Linked DNA regions of Drosophila melanogaster. The protein of the gene in region 1 interacts with the protein of each later gene in a pairwise test. Each region holds a gene or a part of one and is shown in the gene's direction. Other genes may lie near its edges. The genes, in order: raw and CG12194.

Region 1 (3,929 bases):
ATCCAGGAACACCTGGATGTGCCAATATAAATCCGGTGACTGCACTGATCCTACTGCTGCGAGGAAAAGCTATCGGGAAAATCCCAGTTTAGATGAAAATGGGGCCATTCAATAACTGAATTGCTATTTTTGCTAGCAAAATGATTTTAAGGGATTTACTTATTCAATTCATAATTATTTATAAATAGCGAATTCTTAATTTATAGTTTTATATATACACACCTTTTAAATGATTTATGTAAGTTTCTTATTAATAGATATTTATTTACAAGAAAATGTTAAGGAAAAGGCTGCTGTTTTTCCGACTGTTTCTGCGAAAAGCCAAATATCAGTGCACAAGAAGAGTTGGTGGGCGAAGAAAAGTGGAAGTGGAGTTTCCTATTGTTGCACATGCATTAAGAGTAATGCTGCAGTGCTCGGAAAATGCTGGAAAGAGGGTGAAAATGCTACTTTGAGTGGCAATAAACAATGCATAATGAGTTGAGAGTCGCGTTATTATTGTTGCAGCCCGTGGCTGAGACTGTTCATTACTCAAACAGGTAATTTAAATTAAGCCAAAACAATACGCCAAGGTGGCATTTAAAGTAGGTGCAAAACGCATTTCGCCATTAGGAAATTGCCAATTAAGAAGCAAACACTTCTGGGTCCATTCATTACTGCAACACTTGCAGGCAAATCATTTAATTGTCTTTTAAAAATATACTTAAATCAGCAGAGGCGGCAAAGTATTACAAGTCTTCATGCACTTTCTCAGATATGACTAGCCACAAGCACTTAATTCTTGATATCACTTGGAAGTGGCACTTCCAAATCAAAATTATATACATTTAGTAAATAAGAACTATTCGAAAAGACATTTTTCATTTAAAAAGGGAACATTAAGATTTTACTAATTTTTCTATTATCTTAAAGAAAAAATTTTCTAATTTCCACATTCCGTATTTTGTTAATACAACATTTCATTAATAATAATGCAGATATACCCACGATGTCAGGATTTTAAAATAATCTTGAATAATTTGCAAAAGTTAGATCAGAGCAAATATAACATAGATTTAAATTTGTGATACTGTTACCTAACAGAATTTTACAATGTTATTGAAATGTTAATTTTAACACAAAAAAGTGCTCTTCTGCTAATTTTTACATGCACCCAAGACAACAACCATCGAATACAACTGAGTATACGTTCGTTAAAATTTTGGTGGCAACGCTTGTATTCCTAATCTATTAAGATGGCAAGGCTCGTTATCTGAAGAATTTACATTGGCAGCATCAAACATCATTAACTTTGAACTGTTATACAATGGTGCCAATGTAACTTTTTCTCGACAAATGAATTTTGTACTTATTTACCCAAGTGTATATGGAAACAATCAGGTACCGAAAATGTGAACTCTTACAATATATTTTACCTCTTTTTCATCTTAAGTTGTTTTTTTATAAAAGATATCAGCACTGCTGCAAAGACAGCATGCTTTAATATATAATATATATTAATTAAATAAGTTTCACAGTTTTTACGTGGTGTTAACCAACTTACAAAATTCACTCACAAATGTTAACATTCTGTACAAGCATTAGTGTTACCAAATACTCGATAGTATTTTCGCCGTTCCACCAGCTGGTCACACCAGAGACGAATTTAGAAATCTAAAGAGAACCCAACAGTTTCCTAATGCAAATACAATAAACTAATTGTTTAAAATGTGACAACAGTGAACCAAATGCTTGCTGAGTAATAAACCAAAGGATGTTTTGTTTTTTTCTAAAACGTGCCAAGTGAATCGGCTCCACGCAAATGAGAGTGCGGTCTGAAAACAATGGAGCTGCCGTAAAGAATTGATTAAACAAAATAGTCGAGAAGAGAGCGCAAAATGCACAAAATGGTTAAATTATTCCTCAGGTAATTTCAGTCCCAACAAAAACAGCATGTGCCAGATTGCTTTCGTGCTCTTATTGCTGTTGTTGTAGTTCTAGACTCTCTCTTTGCGCTTTAATATTATGAATGACGTAAGCGCGCCTCTTTGGTAGCAATACAAAAGCAATAACAACAATTTGGTTTTGTTGCTTTTGTAAACAAGGAAAATAACAGAATGGTTTTGTACCGCTCGCGTGTGTGTGTGCATAGGTGAGTGGGGAGCTCACTCACCTATGCACACACACACACAAACGCAGGTAAAAGTGGCGTCGTTGGATTTTTACTTGGAAAACGTGTTCGAACTATAAAGAGAAATAGTAAGAGAGAGCTGAGCAGTCTAGCGCTCTTTGCAATGTTATTTCTTTTTTTGGTCAATGACCTAAGCTTTTTCGTCCGTTAGTTGAATTCGTTTCTTTCGCCAATTTCCGTGCTTTTGTGTGCGAGTTAAAAAACTTGGTCTATTTTCACAAAAATCATTGTTTACACTTTGTTGATGTGTAGGTAATTTTCCCAGGCTTTCTTAGCCTCATTTTTCAAGAAAAGGAGTAAACACTAAGTTGGAGGCCAAAGTTGTGAATGGTAAAAAAAAAACGTAATTTTTAAAGAAATTTAAAAAAAAAACTGCCAGCAGTAAACAACGTACAAATCAAAAGAGAATAATTGAGAATACTATAATTAATAGTGTTGTATACATGAAATGTTCAAGAACTTTATTTCCCGAACACATAAAGCATGAAATGAGTCTTCATAGTGTTTCCTTATATCTCTGAAAACAAATAGTATATCACTCGATCATCCAATTGCCTTGCTGTTGTGACATCTTGACAGTAATTAAGTTTATGCACTCAATTGTCACAAAGCCGGAAACAAAAGTGCACAAAGATGTAACATGTTGGTACATTTTTTGCAATGACAACAGCACGCAAATTAGTAAACATTACCGGCCAAATAACAATGCACTGTTTGGAAAATAAAGTAAATATTATGAAATAAATATTATTGTTGTTATACAAAACAGAAAGCAATTACGGAGAAGCAGTAACTGCAGCACAGGTATATTTGCATTCGTGATAACTTTTTGGTAAATAAATTATCTAAGCAATAAAAATGTTTTAAACTTGTAGGATTTTATTTTGGCTTATAAACATAAATACACTTAAAAATAAGTTTTAGGTCGCTTGTTTCAGTTTGTTTCAGAATGTTTTAAGAGCACCGTATAAAATTTTCGAAATTTTCCACAATCTTGAACGGTACTTCTGCGTATTAAGATTAATTGTTTGGCCTTTTATCAGTCTATTTCACTGGAATAAATATTTAACTAGTACTCAGATTTTGTAGGGCACTCTATATGCGGTGTACTTTGCTGACCGAAAAAAAGAGAGATACAAATGTTGAGAATGCGAGGGAAAACGCTTTTGTGATCTTCTTGATTTAAAAATTTTAACGCCAGTGCTGACCGAGCAATTAAAATGTAAACAGGCGGGAAATGAATAAGCGTGCCAGGGAAAAATAAAATGAAATCCCAAAATATTTACAATCATGCAGCAGCAGTTGCACATAAAAACCCAGGAAGAGAAGAACGGAATCTTAACGTGTATGCTTTCGAAAATATACTTGTACCTTAAAATGGCAAATTGGCAATAAGAAACCGACGCGACATTAATATGGCTAGGTAAATACAAAGGCATCATTACCGAAGGTCGTTTTTGTTTGCGTGCGATAAACTTTTTTTCTTTCGACTTTATAGCAAATATTCACGCATACAAACAAACCCGAATGCTTCCCTGTGTTTGCGATTGGTATTATCTGTGTAGGCCTTTGTTATCCAACCATTTGCTTATCTGGGCACGGCTGTCAATGCGTGTGTTTGTGATGGATACTTGATTGAATTGTTGTCCGTATGTTAGCGCCTAAAAAACAATCGACAGCCGCTTATCAGCTGGCAGAAACATAAATAAAATTTCCTCAAACTGAAGCCGAAGGTAAAATGCTCTCTAAATCAATTGCT
Region 2 (3,929 bases), 3.9 Mb from region 1:
GCCTTGCTCCACGGATTGCCGCCGAAGCAGAGGTTCGATATGAAGACCACCGGCGAGAAGAGACGCAGGGAGACCTCACTGGGTGGATGTCAAATATTTAGTTATTTATATTTATAGATATAGTACAGAAGAGCTTCTCTAAATCGATACGTGCTGGTCACGAACAAAGGAAAAACGAATTACATTACATTACATGAAGACGTCCAACTAAAATTGCGTGATAGTTTGAACATGAACTACATCACTTTCCAGTTTACATTTTCCAGAAGTTCGATTTAGTGAAGCTGGACTGTGTTACCAAACCAAAAACACTTACGTGGTGTCCACAATGGGTTTTGCCTCATTGCCGCTGAGTATGAACAGGGGAAAAAAGATGGAGAAGATGCAGCTACTGACGATCACCGAGCTGGACAGATTTGTCAGCACGGTGAGCGGTATTCCGAAGCCGAAGAAATAGGGCCAGTTCTTTTCAATGTACGTGAGTCGTCTATGTAGCTCCCAGCCCATGTTGAACCACTTGTACTCGAAGGAGTACAGTGAGTAGAGCAGGCACAGATGCACGAAGCACAGCGAGGAGCCCACATATTTCACAGGCACTAGGTTAACCAGCATGCTCTGTACCAGGAACAGCATTTGCACCACCATGCTGAATAGGAAGTCGGCCACCAGTTTGCTAATTCCAGGGATTAGCTGCGGGCGACCCTTTCTCACGCGATACGCGGCATTGGCTATGTCCGCGAACCACAGAGAGCTCACAATCTTGGAGAGCATGAATATGGGCAGCACCCACATCATGCCGAAGAGCAGGGACAGTATGGGATGCAGCCAGCCCCAAACCACCGGCAGGGTCTCGGAATGGGCTCCATAGAAGATGGTAAGGCAGAATTTGAGCGTGGGCAGCAGAGCGTTCTCGAACAGGACGATGCTCAGCCAGGTGAAACCGCCATTGAGCATGCAGCACTTGAACAGCTTCTTGGCGATCTTCTTCTCCCTGTGTCGCCGGATTAAAAATCAAGTGCGCAGTTTAAAATTACATGTACGTGGAATGAGTCTTTGTGTAACACATACCCCTGCGGGTGTTGATCCTGGGCGGCTGGCTTCTTGCCCAGGATCTTCTCTAGCGTCCGCTCGTCGGCGTTCTCCTCCGCCTGCTTGGCATACTCCTCCCGAATCATGGCAGCCGCGGAACTGGGCACTGGTGACGGTGATCTCCTGGCGCGTTCGTAACGATCCTTGTCGGTGCGACGCAGCTGTTGGCGGTGCTCCTGCTCGGCATTCTGGCGGTTCACCTCGTCGTCGATGTGCAGGACCAGTGTCATGCCACGTATGCTGTCCCACAGGCCGTACAGAATGCCCAGGGTGATGTTCTGTGGTTGTACAACGCATTTAGTTGGGCCATTGTCTGTGTGCTCCAAAAGGGCAGTCGCAAACTCACCTTTATCGCCGCCATCTCGGGTGGACAGACCTTAGTTCCTGATCGGGGGCATTACGAAATGGACATGCAAGCATACGAAACGTGTTTAGCTGCTCGGGAGCGTATCAAAATGTGGCAGTGGGTCTTTGAATAAATTTGCGTTGTGCGAGACGAAGACAACATCGTTGGCGCCTTTACACTGCACAAAATAGCGTGCGCCCGCACATTTGGTTGGCTTTGTACCATTTTGAAACTTTAACTTACATACTTATCGCTGTGCCAGTGCTTGCTGATCGAATAGTGAGTGTGCAGAGGACCTAATAATCATTGAACTTTGTGCTGAATTTAATAATAAAATAGTTGTTTTGCTTGGTGTAGGAACACACGGTTGCCACCTGATGCGCTGCGGTCGTTTTGCAGCACTGGTCAGTGATGCACAGGCGGGCAGTGTTGTTAACTATCGATAGTTATGAATTTTACCGTTATTATAAGACAATAAATTGTTGTGGTTTTCAATGGTGACGAATAAATAGTTTTATTTTTCTGCATCTCATACGAATGTGTTTGGTAATCCATTTGATATTCTTAATAAATCGAAGCAAACTTTTTTAGCAAGTGCTTATGTTTCGCAAATCCGTTAAAACGTAATGATAGTAACGGTTTTTCGTAAGGATATTCCCAAGGTAATCGATATATCGATATCAAGAGCTCAATGCCCACTTCCATTTCTACAGCTACAGGTAGGGAAACCAGGTAATACCGACCATTCTTCTCCCGACAGGGGACAGAAATAAACCGTAAGTCCACGACTTGTTGAACATATAGTAGGCGTGATAGGACTTTCTCATCACAATACATTGTTGATAATCAACATAAATACATCAAGAAATATTAAGTAAAGTTTTCCTGGATCGTAAGCCCGCCACAATCGCAATTCGAAAATATCGAATGTAAATAATGCAAAATAAGACCGTGGACTAGTGATTAATTAGTGTGTGACTTCGTTTGTTGACTGCGATAACGGGGCATTTGCTTGTTAATCCCTTTTTTTTGTTGTTGATATACGGCATTTACATATGCCTATTTATTGACGTGGGTGTGTGTACATATCGAATTTATACCACAGTAGAGCTGCTTTCAATACGCAAATAGCGTAGTAAAGCCTTAAATCAGGTGTCAACTAAATGTTATGCGCATGCAAGCGCTTAATTGATTACCCATTAACCGTTAGTCAGCCAACGGACAACGAGATCTTTCATGTTTACCTAGCAAGCACACACTAACGCACACCCACCCGTGACATATATGTACATACCTGCATCTGCATGTGTATGAGTGTGTGTGTGTGAGAGAGGGCGTAAAATGTTTTGTGTGTGTGGGAATGCAATTTTCAATCTTGGCTTTTTTGCAGATTAACCGAAACACCCCCCATTCCAACCTTTCCAATTTCCATCATCTCTGTGTGCGGGAATAATCAATACTGCACAAATACTGAGGCAACAGCAGCAACAACAACAACACGGAATTATGGTGTGGTCTAGTGATAAGCAGCAACAGTAGGGCCACAGCCCGCCCCCAACCCCCCGCCTACCGCCCACCACCCACCACCGGTCGAGGAACAGGAATTCCGGAAAAGAGGAGCAGCCACAAATAGCAATTACCATCGCACAACTCAAATTTCCCGTCAACCCTCCATCATTCTGTCAACGAAAAGTGGCAATAATGTCACGCGAGGAGCGCAAACCCATCGTTAGCTCGTCGAGCAGCAGCACCTGCAGCAGCAGCGATGACGAAGTGCATCCTGTGGTGCGGCGACGCAGCACTCGGGACACAGAGCTAGCCGGTCACCAGAAGGATGCCGGATGCTGTGATCCGACGAGCACGCCACATCGCTTCCTCGCCCTGCTCTTTATGTGCCTCTTGGGTTTTGGTAAGAACGTGAATTCCTTTGCAACAACACTTGGGACCATACCTACTTAAATAACTCCTTTAATAGGTTCCTATTTTTGCTACGATAATCCCGGCGCACTGCAGGACGTTTTCCAAAAGGAACTGCAACTCAGCTCCACCGAGTTCACGCTGATTTACTCCATCTACTCGTGGCCAAATATTGTGCTCTGCTTTGTGGGCGGCTTCCTCATCGACCGGGTGTTTGGCATCCGCCTGGGCACCATTATCTACATGCTGATCGTGCTCGTTGGCCAGTTGATCTTCGCCACCGGCGGAGTCCTGGGCCACTTTTGGTTGATGATCGTGGGACGCTTTGTTTTCGGCATCGGGGCTGAGTCGCTGGCTGTGGCCCAAAACAGCTATGCGGTGCTATGGTTCAAGGGCAAGGAGATTAACATGGTCTTTGGACTGCAGTTGTCGGTAGCCCGTTTCGGCAGCACCGTCAACTTTTGGATTATGCAACCACTATATGGATACGTTTCGAAATCCTATTCCGGCTACAAGGGTCTGGGCGTGGCCCTGTTCCTGGCCTCCTCAACGTGCGTCATGTCCCTGGTTTGCACCT

What was found.
Region 2: the proteins of raw (region 1) and CG12194 interact in a two-hybrid assay, tested with the Drosophila melanogaster proteins (one large-scale study listed by BioGRID).

The regions. Positions count from the first base shown.
Region 1 is NT_033779.5:8,738,362-8,742,290, reverse strand, and holds the start of raw (raw), read left to right. Parts: upstream 1-1,630; 5' UTR 1,631-1,877; coding exon of another isoform or gene 1,878-1,906; intron 1,907-3,929.
Region 2 is NT_033779.5:4,836,167-4,840,095, forward strand, and holds the start of CG12194 (uncharacterized protein), read left to right. Parts: upstream 1-2,180; 5' UTR 2,181-2,211; intron 2,212-2,295; exon of another isoform or gene 2,296-2,364; intron 2,365-2,825; 5' UTR 2,826-3,136; coding exon 3,137-3,344; intron 3,345-3,410; coding exon 3,411-3,929. Other genes in the region: tank, read right to left, coding at 1-78, 317-991, 1,069-1,367, 1,436-1,450.